2 linked regions of the Stegostoma tigrinum genome follow. The protein of the gene in region 1 binds, or shares a complex with, the protein of each later gene. Links are inferred from orthologs where the notes say so. Each region holds a gene or a part of one and is shown on either strand. Other genes may lie near its edges.

The links.
Region 2: the proteins of galr1a (region 1) and galanin peptides are in contact, whole or in part, in a cryo-EM structure (PDB 7WQ3), measured with the Homo sapiens proteins. The link is inferred for Stegostoma tigrinum from reciprocal best matches to the Homo sapiens genes GALR1 and GAL. Residues at the interface, in NP_001471.2 of Homo sapiens: Glu32, Gln92, Thr94, Val95, Tyr96, Leu98, Pro99, Thr100, His112, Gln174, Phe177, Arg180, Gln184, Phe186, Cys187, Trp188, Glu189, Gln190, Ile266, His267, Ala270, Phe275, Leu277, Ser281, Phe282, Arg285; in NP_057057.2 of Homo sapiens: Gly33, Trp34, Leu36, Asn37, Ser38, Gly40, Tyr41, Leu42, Leu43, Gly44, Pro45, Val48.

Annotation. Positions count from the first base shown.
Region 1 is NC_081358.1:41,256,860-41,264,542, reverse strand, and holds the start of galr1a (galanin receptor type 1), read right to left. Parts: upstream 3,210-7,683; 5' UTR 2,947-3,209; intron 2,730-2,946; 5' UTR 2,721-2,729; coding exon 2,067-2,720; intron 1-2,066. UniProt on the Homo sapiens protein: Receptor for the hormone galanin. The activity of this receptor is mediated by G proteins that inhibit adenylate cyclase activity.
Region 2 is NC_081370.1:17,401,805-17,410,004, reverse strand, and holds the start of galanin peptides, read right to left. Parts: upstream 3,033-8,200; 5' UTR 2,873-3,032; intron 2,749-2,872; coding exon 2,668-2,748; intron 943-2,667; coding exon 885-942; intron 1-884. UniProt on the Homo sapiens protein: Endocrine hormone of the central and peripheral nervous systems that binds and activates the G protein-coupled receptors GALR1, GALR2, and GALR3.

The DNA.
Region 1 (7,683 bases):
CCACTTGGTTTCCCCAATGTAGAGGAGGCTACAACGGGAACAGCAGACACAGTATACCACATTAGCAGATGTGCAGGTGAACATCTGTTTGATGTGGAAGGTCTTCATAGGGCCTGGGATGGGGGTGAGGGGGGAGGTGTAGTGACAGGTGTAGCACTTGCTTCGGTTGCAGGGAAAAGTGCTGGGTGTGGTGGGGATAGAGGGGAGTGTGGAGCAGCCAAGGGAGTCACCGAGAGAGTGGTCCCTCTGGAAAGCAGATAAGTGTGGGGAGGGAACAATGTCTTTGGTAGTGGGGTCAGATTGCAGACGGCAGATGAATAATCCTTGATGATAGACAACCTAACCAAGTAGAAAGTTACATCTGCAGCTCCTCAACCAAATGACTTCATTTCAAATTGTAATGAAGATTCCTGCTAAGCCAACGTCAACATTTTTCACTTTCCACACCAACTTACAGGGTTCTGTGAATAGCAGGCCAGTTCACCAAAATATCAGCAGCAGTTCTCTGCACCTTGTTTAAGACTGATCAGGTTCAAAAAATCATTTAAGTTAGCATCTTTTGCACACAGAGACGGTGGTAGAGAAAGAATCAGAAATGCTTTTATTTCATAGTTATAGCCTAGAAGTGAAATGTGGAATATCAATGAAGACAAAGACTGATGAGAATGTGGAATAACTGATCATAGGAAGATGATGAAGTCAATAGACAGATACATTTAGGAGGAGGGTAGAGAATCATATGAAGGCAAAGGAATACAGACTTATGAACATTAGATTTAGATTCAGAAAAATGGATGAAGTGTCAAGTGGCAAATGAATGCCACACGGGCTGCTTTGTGCCCTATGTCTAATGTGGTCCTGTGTTTTTGGTTAGCTTACTCATTCCACCAACTTATTCTCAATAATTCATTGCAAGTTTTTCATAAAATTAGTTTAGTTTGTGACTTTTTCTCAGGAGCTGTCAATCCATGAGCATTTTTTCTTCCAAGAAAATCACCTTTTGTCTTAGGAAAGTCTAGTTAGACCTGTTCCTCACAGAAGGTGTTGAGCTTAAGATCTTAACGACTTGGGTAAAATAGATCAGAATTTTTGTTTTTCATTTGTTGTTCTTCCATAATGATGGCAAGGCTGGCATCTATTGTCCACCTCCACCTGATTTTGAGAAGGTAGTTGTGAGCTGCCTTCTTGAACTGTTGCAGGTGTAGGGACACTCAGAGCTCTGTAGTTGAGGGAGTTGCAGGATGCAAACCCAGTAATTAACATTGTTATACCTGTCACATTGTCAAAAGAAATCGTTCACCGTCCCAGCCTCAAAAAGCTATGCATTCACACTTGTGTGTAGGTCCGTGCAGTTTAACAGGTATTGTACTAGCTGAAGCTTGTTATTTTCCTAAACTGAAATCCAGGCAGACCAAATCGTCACCACTAATGGTTGCTGCCCAACAAGAAGGCGTTCAGCAGATGGCAACTTTAGGATTGAGGTAACAATCGACAAAGGAACATGCCTCAGACTCAAACTTCAATGTTTGATTGTTTTCTTCACATATTTCCGTACAGAATAGAACTGCTTTAGTCACTGAATGTATACACATATATTTTAATGAATAAAATATATTTTTGAAGCTAAAAGTAGTCTCAAATTCTAGTTGAAGTTCCAAGATTGATGTTCACTTAACCTATCCCCCCCAGCGCAGCGTGTGTGTGTGTGTGTGTGTGTTTAATTTACAAAATCCAGCCAGCAAAGATATGGATTCCCAGCAGTCAGAACCATGTTATACGAGAAATCATCAAAAATGGAAAAGTACTTTCACAGGAATACACCTTCCCCCTTTCACTGCCCTACACCCCGTGGAATGACCATTAAATCGGGAGAAGTTTGACTTGGACTGCCGTAAAGTGTCTCGGCATGAGGAGAGATTGGGAAAAACGTGCCGTGAACGACGAGGGTGATTCCAATAGAATGAGTGAGTTCAAATCTATCAAGTGTCAATCACCATCTAAAACTATTAACTAGGGGCGGCAGTATCCTGCAGATGTGGGAGTCTGTTTTTGTTTACTGGCCTTACCTTGGCATAACAGTAGCAAATGAGAAGCAGGGGCAGTAGGTAGCCCACCACGAAAGTGGCCACCTTGTAGATCTGCCTGTGACTGAGGACGGTCCAGTTCTCCCAGCAGAAGGGACCCTGATCCTTCTTGTGAACCAGCATGTGGTAATAAGCGACCGGCGAAGCGGTGGCGAGGGACAGGAGCCAGATGAAGATCACACTGAGGACAGCGTTCCTGGTCACCCGAATGCAGGAGGACTTTCGCGAGTGGACAATAGCGATGTAACGATCCACGGCCATGGCCGACAGGGTGAAGATGCTGACCAGCACCGATACGGTGAAGAAGTAGTGGACAAACTTGCAAATGAAGCCGCCGAAGATCCAGCTGGGCAGCACGTAGTAGGTGGCCTGGAAGGGGATGCAGAACAGCAGGTAGGAGAGGTCAGCGATGCTCAGGTTGAGGATGAAGATGTTAGTGGTGCTGAGCGTTTTGCCCGGTTTGCTGCGGGCCAGCACCGTGATAACCAGCGAGTTGCCAAGGACCCCGAGGCAGAAGATCAGGCTGAAGATGAAGAGGACAATGAAGCCGTCAGCGTTGATCTGCTGCTGCTGTCCTGCGGCCAGGTTCCCAGCCGTTGTGTCATTGGTCTCTATACTGCTTTGGTTCTCATCCATATTGACCAACTGCAATTAAATTGTAACAATCAAACACATTACATGGACGTTGAGTACATTTGCAAAGTAAAGACTGCTCTAGAGTTAGCGCAATTGAATGGCTTGCTTCAAAATCGAATGGCCCTTCAAGCCCGGTTCCCTAAATCCTTTCATCAACACATCCCCAAACTTGGTTTCATTCGCGTGTACCTTGAGTTGTACTTTCAATCATTCACATCAGACCTACTTGTAGAATGCCGTTTGCCGTGGAGTTTATAGACTTGCGATTCGCTCCCGTACGCTTCTGTCTTCCAATGATCCTCTCCCTCTCTCTCTCTTTCACTCTGATTTCTTCCCCTTTCTCCACCTTGGCTTTGTTTTAATACATACTCGTTCGGTAGCCGTCGTAAGGAGCTGATTCTCGTTTTCCGCCGTCTCCTTATTTGCCGCCGAGTAAAGCGGATGCCTCAGCTGCTAACTCAGTGCACGCTTCACATCCTGCTAGTTTGTCGCTGCCGAGCATCTCTCTGGAGCTCTGAGCCTCCACGCTATAGTGTCACGTACACACAACACACACACACACCATCCCCAGCCACCAGTTCTGTTCTTGTGGTGAAAGACAAGTGACTGATATCATGCAAGAGTGGATTCACCCCCATAATTGGCACATGATTAAAAGTTGTTGTTGTGTTGGACAGACAGTCACGGAATTTTCCAAGGTGAATGATATCCAGTATGTTTTTTATTTGGTGACGTTTTTCAAATCAAAGTCATCACCAGATAAATGCTTCGTTGTAAATATTATTTAGGGATTTGGCAAAGATGTTTACATGATAACCATTGAGGATTTCTGTAGGGGCAATGGAATGAGGGACGCAGCAAATTCAGGTATGATCAAATAACTGCACCGTCCCCATGACCTTGGGGTATTTCAAAATGAATTGTTGTCACTGCCTAAGAAAAAGTTGTATTTATGTAGCGTCTTTAGCAACCACGCAATCTCTCAAGTCCCTTTGGAAGCAATCCGGTACTTTTGAGATGCAGTTAGTGCTGCGACACGGGAAACTCAGGGGCTAGGTTGCGCACAGCAAGATTCCACCATCCGCTGTTGGTCCTCCTCGTGTAATCCGCACATATGATGTGTGTGAGGGATAGGCTTTGGCCAGGACACCAGGAATTACTCCCTTTCTCTTCCAAGTATTGCCATCATCGCTACATTACCACCTCGCATAGAGTCATCATAGAATCCCTATAGTGTGGAAACAGGCCCTTCTGCCCAAACAGACCACACCGACCCACACAGCATCCTACCCAGATCCATCCGCCATAATCAACACATCCCTGAACAATACAGGCAACTTAGCATGGCCAATCCACCTAGTCTGCACATCTTTGGACTGTGGGAAGAAACCAGAGCACCCAGAGGAAACCCACACAGACACAGGGAGAATGTGCAAACTCCACACAGACAGTCGCCTGAGGGCAGAATCGAACCCAGGTCCCTGGCGCTCTGACGCAGCAGTGCTAACCACTGAGCCACCGTGCGGCCCATAATAATCACATAAAAGAGAAGACAAGGTCTTAGAGTGAAAACAAACCACACTTCATTCTCTTAGTACTGGACTAGAGCATCAATCTGAATGGCTGTGCTCAAGTTGTAGAGTGGGACTTGAAACATGACAGTTAGCACATTTGTCTTCATTGCCTAGTCCTTCGAGTATAGGCATTGGGAAATCATGTTGAGGTTGTACAGGACATTGGTGAGGACTTTTCTGGAGTAATGTGTTCAGTTTTGTTTGACCTAATATTGGAAGAATATTATCAAAATACAGAGGGTTCAGGAGAGATTTACCAGGGTGTTGCAGAGTATGGAAGATTTGAGATATAAAGAAAGGCGGGGACTTTTTTTACTGGAGCACAGGAAGTTGAGAAGTTATAAAATCATGAAGAGTTTAGATAGGGTTAATGATAGGTGTCTATTCCCTAGGATGAGGGATTTCAAGACAATGAGGTATATTTTTAAGTGCGAGGAGAGAAATTTAAAAAAGACTTGGAGGCAAAGTTTTTACACAAAGGGTAGTTTGTATGTGGAATGAACTTCCCGAGGAAGTGGTGGATGTGGGCATAGTTACAATGTTTAAAAGACACTGAGATAAGTACATGAATAGGAAAGTTTGCAGGGATATGTGCCAGGAACATGCAGGTGGGACTAGTTTACTTTGGGATTATGCTCTGCATGGATTAGTTGGACCAAAGGGTATGTTTCCATGTTGCATGACTCTATGTCTCCATGCTGCCAGCTGAGGCAATGCTGGAAAACAGTCAAGTGGGAACCACAGCAGTCAATTTATGCCCAGTAGGGCACACAGACAACAGAGATAAATTATCAGAGAACTAATTCATTTTAACAATGCTGGTTTGGGAATAACTACTGTACTGTGCACAAAAATTATTTCAATTTTCTTCAAATAGTGCTATAGTTTTCTTGCATAGGATATATATTTTCTTATACAGGTTTTCTTAAAATCTTTTACTTTATCATTTCACCTTAAAAGGCAACACATTAGGCATTTCAGTCCTCCCTCAGTAATGCACTAGAACAACAACCTAGATTTTACAGTCAGGCATCTACGGTCAGTCTGGAAATCCCAACTTTTGATTCAGAGGTATAAGGGCTACCAATTAAGATATTGCTAGCACTTCAATTCTACAGTAAATACATCTTAAGCCTCCACTAACCAGATCCTCAGAAAAGCGATGTTAGGTAAATGTCTAGCTGTGTTTCAGAAAATGCACCACTGAACTATGTAAGCAGCATAGAAAATACACCAGTTGACCTGATGGACCAGAAAATGTTCTTCTATGAATAAAAAAACTACAGATGCTGGAAATCTGAAACAAACTTAGCAGGTCTGGCAGTATCCATGGAGAGAGAAGAACAGAGTTAACCTTATGAGTCCAGTGTGACTTCTTCAGAATGTTCCCATGTTTTTTACTGCTCTTCTATGGTTGAATTGAAATAACTGAAGGAACTTCGTCATTCAGACCAGATTTGCTTGCTTACATTATTTATGCAACAACAAAGAAACAAAACTACTGATAAGTTTCTTTTGTACACTTTGCTTGGTCTCCCAAGTGCTCAGAAGTTTCAACAGACAATGGAATCCACAAGGAGGAGTTATGTTTGTCTGGCATCAAGAGTACACACTCCCCTTTGTGCCTCCAGAGATATCACAGAAAATTGACAAGAACCAAGGCTTGTTGACTCCCCTCATGTACAATGGGATTTCCCTGACTGTCAATCTTTTGACAATCTTACGTAGTTCAAATCATCCTACTCATTCCAGTGTTCTCTCACTAAGTGACCTGGATCCATTGAAATGAGTTCAATCCCACCATTGGAGAGTTGTTTCTCTAGTCCCTATCAATAACACATGTTGGCTACTCAAGTGCTTGGAATACTGACTAAATGTAACTGACTCAGTAAAATGTGTACTTAACTCCCATTGGCAGACAGTTCTATTTGACTCCTACAATTTTGTTCATGGCCCTCATGAAGATATTAACTATAGATTGTACACCCAATGGAAGCAAAATAAGTCAGTTTATTCATTGAACTTCTAGATTAGACAAGGAATGTCAGCAAGAGATGGGAAAACAAAGTAATATTTCAAACACAGTTGAGCAAATGCTCCAGAAAATAGTCTGGATGAATGCAAAACTGTACCAGTTGTCTAAGAGCAGTTTCTGATGTGTACCAAAACAAAACAGCACAGATACACAGCTGAATGATTTGTAGTATAACTGTTCATGGACCCCGATTTTAGCTGAACATGGTTTGAAAAATACTTCAACTGGATTTCAATGGCTATTTGGGGTACAATAGTATAAAGAATGATTTTAAAAGAATGACACTAAATGGGAAAGCAAGAGGAATAGCACTATTCCCTAATAAAACCTGCTGCTACAGATTCCATTTTGTATATCTGTGCTACTGCATATTATATACATTATTTAATAAAGAACTTTATATTTTCATCTCTCAGGCTGCAATAGGAATATTTTGTAACAATAATTTTTGCACAATAAAGAACCAGTCAGGCACAGAAATCCACCCTGCACAAGATTAACATTAAAGTTAAAAACAGAAATTACTGGAGAAACAGAGCAGGTCAGAGGAGGAGGCAAAGCAAAGTTTCAAGTCTGGTGATCCTTCTTCACAACAGCTCTGAGTTTCTCCAGAAATTTCTGATTTGTTTCAGATTTCCAGCATCCACAACTCTTTGTTTTGTTGCCATTTTAGTCATAATTTAAAATTAATACATTTGCATTTACATTTAATCTAAGGTCATCTGAAACTCAGTTTAAACTGTTACTCTTCAGAGTCAATGAATTGTCATTTTTGTTGCATTTTCTTTGCAAATTAATTTATGTGTTTGCCAAAAATAAAATCTGATGGCTTGTCTGATTCATTTCTGAGGAAGGTCAAAATTGCCAATTTGCACAGTTTGTTCCGATTCTGTTGGTAGCATTATGCGATTTGAAATGACTCTTTGGGATAACAATGCAGTATCTATTGACTACAGAACCACAAAGTTTGCAACTACCTCTCATAACTCCTTGTCTGCAATACTGGAGTTTGTGACACTTATTGATAAAGATTTTTTTATGCTGATGCCTCTAACGACATTGGCACTAAACATTAATGTTGATGGGATATCTACTTATCTTTTCTAGTCATTAATGGGTAAAGGAATATGACTTTTAAATACAGGTCAGTAACATGTAGTTGGAAGACCAGAAACAAAGTTGTGAATTGTGCTTTAAAACATAGATAAGCCTGGCATGAGGATATGGCCTCACCACTTCTTATTTCTATAACAATCGCCACTCCTACAACCCTTGAAATCTCCATAGTTTTCTACTACTTGCACATTGTTGACTTCCTTTACTCCAACTTTGACTGTCATACCTTCAGCTGGCT
Region 2 (8,200 bases), on another chromosome or scaffold:
ACAGTACTTGGAAGTGCATGATAAAACAGAGGTCAGTCAGCATGGCTTCGCCAAGGGGAAGTCAAGCCTAACAAATCTGTTAGAATTCTTTGAGGTGGCAATGAACAATGTTGACAAAGGAAAACCCGTTAATACGACCTATCTTGACTTGCATTATTCAGTTTAGGAAGTATGCTCAGAATGGACATGTTGGGCTGAAAGGTCTGTTTCTACAGTGCAGAACTTTATAGTTACATCTACATTTCATGCAGAGTGAGTTGATTTCAGCTGAAAAAAAGTATATGAACAATCATCTTGATCACGTAGAGAGAATAACGTTTGGCACAAAAAAACTGATTATTAATTACTGCTACTTGCAGGGAGGTGCATAAATCTAGGGGAGATACTAGGGCAGGACACTTGTACAGCTGACTAATCACAAAATAATTCGTAGGATCTCAGTTTTCAAAAAAAAAGGATAATGAATGAGATATTTCAGATTTTTCTCCTCTAGATTGGATTCCACCAATTAACTGTTATGCTACACATTACATTAAGATATAGCCACACATTACACCAAGATATAGCCAGAGAACAGATTTGTAAAATTCCAAATTAGAAATATGGACATTACTTGGAAGGTTGGCATTTATAGCCAAGTTGTAGCTGACTTGGAAGAGATGTAGTTGGAGGAGATGATAATGGACCATTTGCTTAGACTAACACCATTTAGGATAAAACATATTCCCACAGTGCTGTTAAGTTCAACATGCCACCAACTGAAATACTGTTCAGATATTTGACAGGGAACATCACAGCTTAGGAATTGAGATAGAGGATTGACATTATCTTAAACATATTACAAATTTACAATATTATTTAGCACTTGCTGAAAGAGTACTCACGTGGTCCTAGGAGATATCCTGCGCTGTTTAATGTCCACCCCCGTTTATCTTTTGCCTGCTGCAGAAATATTTCATGAACAACTTTTAGGTACCAGAATAACAAAACATCCACGTATATTTTAAAACACAAAGCTACTACTTCCAGAAGGGAAGGTTAAATTGCACTAGTTCCCTTTTGAAATGGTGAATAAAAATTAGGGTACAATACTGAAAAATAGCTACAGTTTTTAAAAGCGATGTCATCCTCCACAAATTGATGACTCCATAGTTTTCTGGTCCTCATTTACAATGAATAAAAGAAGGAAAACTGAGCCGTACAAAATACCCTATTTAATAACTTGAGGGTTGAGAATTCCAAAAACAAAACAATTTTGACTGAAAGACAAGAATGGTTGATGAGACATTTAGCAAGATGCAGTGCAAATTTCAGACTGAATCATTCGTAAAGAGATGGGTTTGACTGAATGGACAAAAAGCAGTAGATGCGCAGTGAATAGAATAATGTTTGCAAAAATAAAAGAAAAAACACATTCAAAACAAAAAAAAGGTACTGCAGGGTAGATAGCACTTAAAAAAAATCCCATCAGTGGTCCTGATGGGTAAACTGAATCAACAGAATAAGACCTGATCCGCAATTTTAAACATACATACTGCCGTTAGTTAAGATAGCCTGGTGATATACTGATTTGCGCCGTACAAATTCTGATTTGATTGTGCCGTTCTGAGGTGGCAAAGACACCTGTCCGTAGCCAGCTGGGAGCAATAAAGTCTCAGATTTATTGTTAAACCCTAACTTGAATGAATAAACTGCCACAGCTTTCTTGGTATATAAAAGGCAACGAGAACATGATCTGGGACTAAAAGAAGCCACTTTATGCTCTTGTCAAGCCAGATGAGGTGCTTTTCCAGACCTGGCAGAATATTTAGGTCACCTCTGCCTTGGAGTTGGAGTTGATTTCTTCCCTCACAAGACTGTCTCCCAAAAACTCTCGTTTATGATTCATCTTACTTGAGAGCCTTTTCTTTACGGAAACCAATATTGTCTTATTTCCTACTCCACTCGTGCACATTTTCCCAGTGTCACCTTTTGTCCATTTTGGGCAAGCAGCTACTAAAGTCTGTGGAGTTAAAACGTTGAGAGACTAGCTTTTGGTGGACACCTCGCCCCGGTACAAATCCTTTGAGTAGTTAAACTTCACCTTTCGGGAGAATCAAACCTACACGGTAGGGTTTTTCTGAACAGTTTTCACCAAGCCATCTGAAGTCTCTCTCACTCCCGTTCCGCCTTCATCGTTCCCCAATATTCCCCAAATGCTCTCAAATGCACATGTTTCGGGTGACCTTTATTGCATGGTATAGCCAAAGACCCAACGTCCAGAATTATCATACAATTTCAAAATCAGAAATAAATAGGCAGCATCAATAGTATGCCATTTCCATTTTGAATAGTAACGTTTCAACTGTTATTTAATAGATGGCAGTCTGCAGCAGAGATCCCTTAATCCTACTCTTTCTCATTTTGAGTATTTACTTTTCCCTTCTCAGTTGTTAAAATAATATCTGCCATGCGTTTAAAACACTATTTTCGTCTCGGATTAACAGTATTAACATTGTCGTCCGTATGATTATACTCTGACATTTTTAAAAACCAATCCTGTATTTATGTAGAAAAGGAGAAAGTCGCGAAATGGGCAGCGTTAGGTCCAAATTTACGCAGAGAAATTTGGCACACGATACATGGAGTATCTGAACTAAGAAATTAGGCACTTCAGAAAGAACTCACCGAAAGAACTAACCCGAAAGAATGGGAGACGGCGACACACAAGACTAGAGAGAGACAGAGGAGACTGGCAAATCGTGGCATCTGAAAAGGGAGGGGAAGAAGAAAATAATAGAATTCCTGAAGAACTATCCCAGAGAAAAATAGAACATCATTTTAAGACAACAAAGTAAATAGATACTTATTGGCATGACTATTGCGATCTTACCCTGTTTTTCCTCTGAGTGTTTTCTTCTAAATTCGACGATATGATCTGCTACATCAAATGGTTGAAGCCCCGACAGTTGCTGAATTAACAACTTTGCTTCTTGACGAGAGCAATATCTATCATCACAGAAGTTATTGTCGAGAGTGCAGCGGGCTGTGTGTTTATATGCGAAGCCGATCGGCTCACCAATCTGCCTCCAGCGTCACGAGCTCTATTTTCTCTGTATGTCACTCCCATTAGATCCAAAATTACACCAATTAAATGAAATATACTTTTAGGTAATTTGGCTGCAGAAAGACACGAAGCAGATAATTACATTTGACGAGTGCACTGTCCCAACGGCTGGCTGCCCAACGGGTAAATTGCCTGGTATATACTAGCTATGAATTGTCACATCTGACTTCGAATCAAACACTTCGTCTCCGCGAGTATTGAAATTATTTTCTTTCCTCTCCAGACCCTTATTTTTTGCCGTGTATGACACGCATACTTTCTAAAAAATACAAAAACACTGACACTCCTTTGTCAGAATTAGGTTGTAGTTTTTTAAATTCTTCCCCGTGACTAGTGAACCGATATTGCAGATCAAAATATCTGCAATTTCAATGCTTTTTAATCCTGGATATAATTGGATATAAAAACACGTCGCTCTATGTCATTACTTATTTCCACAATTGTAAATACAAGCGGTTGTCTTAAGCTGGTCACAGTTTCTGTTGTAAATCAAGGTTTACAGGCTTCAGAGACATCTTTTCATTCGTTTGGGGGAATGGGCTTTTTAAAAAATTAAATAATGGAAGTGTACAACCCAGGTTCACAGCTTACAGTTAATTAGGTCGACAAAGCAGTAATATTTAGATGACACTAAATTTAGTACTCAAAACCTTTGTAAATTTTAGATGAAAGGAACTACCGATGAATATATGAAATTTCACTGGTAAGGTACTGGAAAAACAATACAATGGTGCAATCTTCCTTGAGTTCAGCATTGTAGGGTTATGTGTTTTGAAGATCATTCAGGGAATTCACCTTGCTGCACAATGTTGTTTGTAATTATGGATAATGAAGATAGAAGCTCCAACTCTTTCCATCACACGGCTGAGCAGGAATCAAACCCATTCTTATATTGGAAAGATTCGCAGTTTGACAACAATGTATTTGGCATGAATATACCTCCTTTGATCATCAAATGGAACTCAAACCGGAGCTTCTGAATCAATGGCAGAGACCGTTGCACCACAAAATCTTCACTAGGGATCTAGACGTATTAAAAATGTAAGGCTTTAAACAGCTGCACACAATTCATCTGTGTTACAGCAAGAATTTGTTTTGGTGTTTGTTGTTCATGTCCTCAGAGTGTCATGAAGTTATTTACATCCAATTTAATTGTGTTATCCTCAGGTGAGGAGGAGTGATCTGCTTCTCTCAATATATGCCCTTCTTGGTAGGCCACAACATTTTTTTAAGATCACACATATTGAGCTTTATTCAAAAGGTAATTAATTAGATCAAAATTAAGGAGTCAAATTGCAAAGTTTTCTTAAGCGAAAGAAAGGGTATTCTTCGGATTTAAGTTTAACCATGCATATTCCGACACATTTAATAAAGGGACAGAAAGGGAGAATCGCGAGAAACTGAATATTGTATAAACAGAATACAGTTTTGCATCCGAAGAAGAGTTCTCCCAGTGCCCTGACTGATATTGTTCCTCTCACAGCAACACCAGAGGCACGTGCCTCCGTGGCTGTTCATAGTTCTAGCAGATAAATTGTGTGGTATCTTTCAAAATGAACAATTCTTCGTGGAGAACTCAGAATCTACAAACTTCACAACGACTGAAGAAACAAAATAGCTAAAACAGGCTTGAAATCTAACACAGCAACAAGGATTCTAAGCTGCAACTGTCTTTACTTTCTTGGTTATACACATATCATCCACATCCATTTTAAGCTGATTATTTGTGCCTGATACCTTATTATTTGTTTGATGTCACATTTTTTCTTCATTATCTTTCGCTCTAGAAAACCTTGCAATTTGGCTCCCTAATTTTGATCTAATTAATTGCCATTTGGCTAAATTGTAATAGCTGATCACCTCTCCTCACCGTGTAGCGCGGTAGAAGTGTCCCTAAAACGAGACACCCGGATTCAAGTCCCACCTGATCGAGAGGTGAGGAATGACATTTCTGAACAGGTTGATTCGGTACGAAAAGGTCAGTCAACGCCTTAGGATTGCAATAGTTAACGTGACCATACTTCTCTTCATACGATTATTTCCAAAATTTTCAGAAATTATTTCACATGTTCAGCCTTAACACTAAATCAGAGCGAAAGACCTTCAAAATCCCACGTGATGTTCAAGATCATGTGACAGTGAGGCTGGCGCGCGTTCTGTAGCCAAGTCGCATGTGTAGTTCTGTACCTCGTTCAAATGTGTTTGGTGTTCGGAGCGCGTGGCTTTCGGTGAACTGCCGGCCCGGGACGGAAATCATGGGGGTGGTGTTCAACGGAACGTGGGACTTATCGTGGCGCGTTGTTACTAAAGGCGATGGCATGTTGAACATGACCAACTTGGACTTTGAAGAATTCCGAAGGAAAAGTTTGACGAAGAATATACATTTCAAAAGAAACGCCATTCACGTCATCGCTGAAAATCTGCCGCACGTCATTCTGTTCATATTTGGAACCTTTCTATTTGGAGGTAAAAGTCACGGTCGTTATGTAGACCGTAACTTACATCAACGAGAGATGGCAATGGATGATTCGAGTTTGTGCACCATAGTTACAGTTATTTTGATGAGGATGACTGTGTCAAGTTTGGAAATCTGATTGGAAAAATTCAATCATAGAATTTGAAGAAATGGGTGACATACACGGACTTTTAGAAGAACTTTATAGCGCACGCGGTAGACTCCTAGCTAAATTCATAGCATGTTGAGCACAGAATGGCTGTAAACCCGGCTATGAAACAGAAAGCAGTATGTTTAAAGGTTGGCCACTTAAAGTCGTGGAAGGTGGGAAGTGGTACTGTAGAGATGTTTGTTGGAACAACATTCATAATTTAAAGGAAATAATTTGGATTCCAGAATCCAATACTATACCAGAATGTGCTAATTGCACTAAAGATGACAAAATACAAAGAGAGTTTAATACATTTTCAGAAATTAGTGTGATTCTAAGCTGGGCGGCGTGGTGGCTCAGTGATTAGCACCGCAGCCTCACAACACCAGGGACCCGGGTTCGATTCCAGCCTCGGGTAACTATCTGTGTGGAGTTTGCACGTTCTCCCCGTGTCTGCGTGGGTTTTCTCCGGGTGCTCCCGTTTCCTCCCACAGTCCAAAGATGTGCAGGCTAGTTGGATTGGCCATGCTAAATTGCCCGTAGTGTTCAGGGGTGTGTGGGGTTATAGGGGGATGGGCCTGGGTGGGATGCTGCAAGGGGCGGTGTGGACTTGTTGGGCCGAAGGGCCTGTTTCCACACTGTAGGGAATCTAATCTAATCTAATCTAAGTGTGATGGTGCATTTTGGTAGGAAAAATAAAGAAGCTATCTATTACTTAGAAAATAAGAAATGAAATGGGACAGAAGAGTAAAGAGATCTCGGGGTGCAGGCTATATTGTGAAATAGTGGTTATTCAATCAGATCAAATTAAAAATGCAACTGTTGACTTCCTTTCTAGAAGTAATGGAATTTGGAATTGTTGAGTTACGTTAAACTGTAACGTAGGCCCTTAGATAGATCACACTCAGAATACTGTGCCAAGTTCTAGTCTGTTGTACAAAAGAATATAAAAGCTTGGAAAATCATAAAAATGGATTTACAAGTATGATATCAGAGCTGAGAGGTTTGTTTTATCCAAAGAAATGGCTGAGTTGTGACCTGATCAAAGGCTTCAGCGTTATGAAGGGGTTCATGACGCAGATGTAGATGGACTTCAGGAAGGAATTTACTAAAGGCTTATCAAGAAGGTAGAAACTCATGGAATTAAAGGCAAATTGGTGGTATGGATTTGCAATTGGCTCAGTGATATGTTGCAAAGAGTAGTGGATTGATGCTTTTGAGACTGGTATACTGTTTCCATAGGTTTTTCTCAACCATCATTTGAGTCAGTTATTCAATTTTTATTAATGACCAACACCAGGTGTCAGCAACCCTTTTAAAGTTTTTTTTTAAAGAAAGGCCTAAAATGAGAACTTTAGGAATCTCAAGCTGAAAGTTTGACATTCTTAAGTTAGATATTTGGCAACTTGTCAAATGTCTTTATAGGATGCTAAATCTGCTCATTAAATTCAATGCTAATGTTTTTAGTGTATCAATAGAAAATAGATTTAACTCTCATCATTGCATTTGTACTTTATTTTCTTTTTCATCGTAATATTACCTTAATCATCTTGAATTAGGGTGCATAGAATTGAAAGCATTTTGTAGGTTATGGATTCTCATAGTTAGAAAATAAAAATTGATGCATATTTGGAATAACTTGTCTTATGAAGCATATTTGAAATAATAATGGTTGTGACCATAAAACCTGTCTATTGAAATAAAGGCATTATCTCTAATCATGCATAGCTGTATATATTCAAACAGAAATATTTCAACCATGTTGGTATTTTTTGTTTAAAATAATTATTTAGAAATGTATAGTGAATGATATTGTGGAGACCTAGCAGTGGACTGCCTGGAAGTATTGTGGACTTTAACTTCAAATTTTCAAATATACTTCCTAAAAGAATGCTGGTACAGCCAAAAATGGCAGTCGATGTAAATTTAAGTGGTTGTTTGGAGGGAATACCCATCACATGTCACACTGGATGCAAAGGAAACTCTTGTTAAAAAAAATGAGAAGGGAGAGGCAAGTCAAAACAGACTGGATGGTGATTTCCTGTGAATGCAGTGATGATGAAGGGTTGACTACCCCTGTTGATTATGTGTCACACTGCAGACATATTTTGTGCTTTTTCCTTTGAAGAGTACACAAGGATTAAAAATCATTTTCAACTCTGTGCTAATTGCACTGAAAGTTTTTTTTGTGTGTGTACACAGATCAGCCGGGGCTTGAGCGTTAGTTTGCTGTGAAGGTCACATCTGAAGAATTAACTCCAGTCATCCCTGTGTAGGACAGGACAACTCTCTCTTGATGAATGCTGAAATTTACTTACATTTGAAACGAATAAGAATGATAGAATCTCAACCAATCTGCAAAGCTAAGGATTGTGGAACCAATTGTTCAAATAGCCATGTCAATGCTATCAGTAAATTCCACTGCACAGTCACAATCCACTCTCTTGATCAATTTAAATCGATTTTGCACGTGTGCATCCCCATTTAA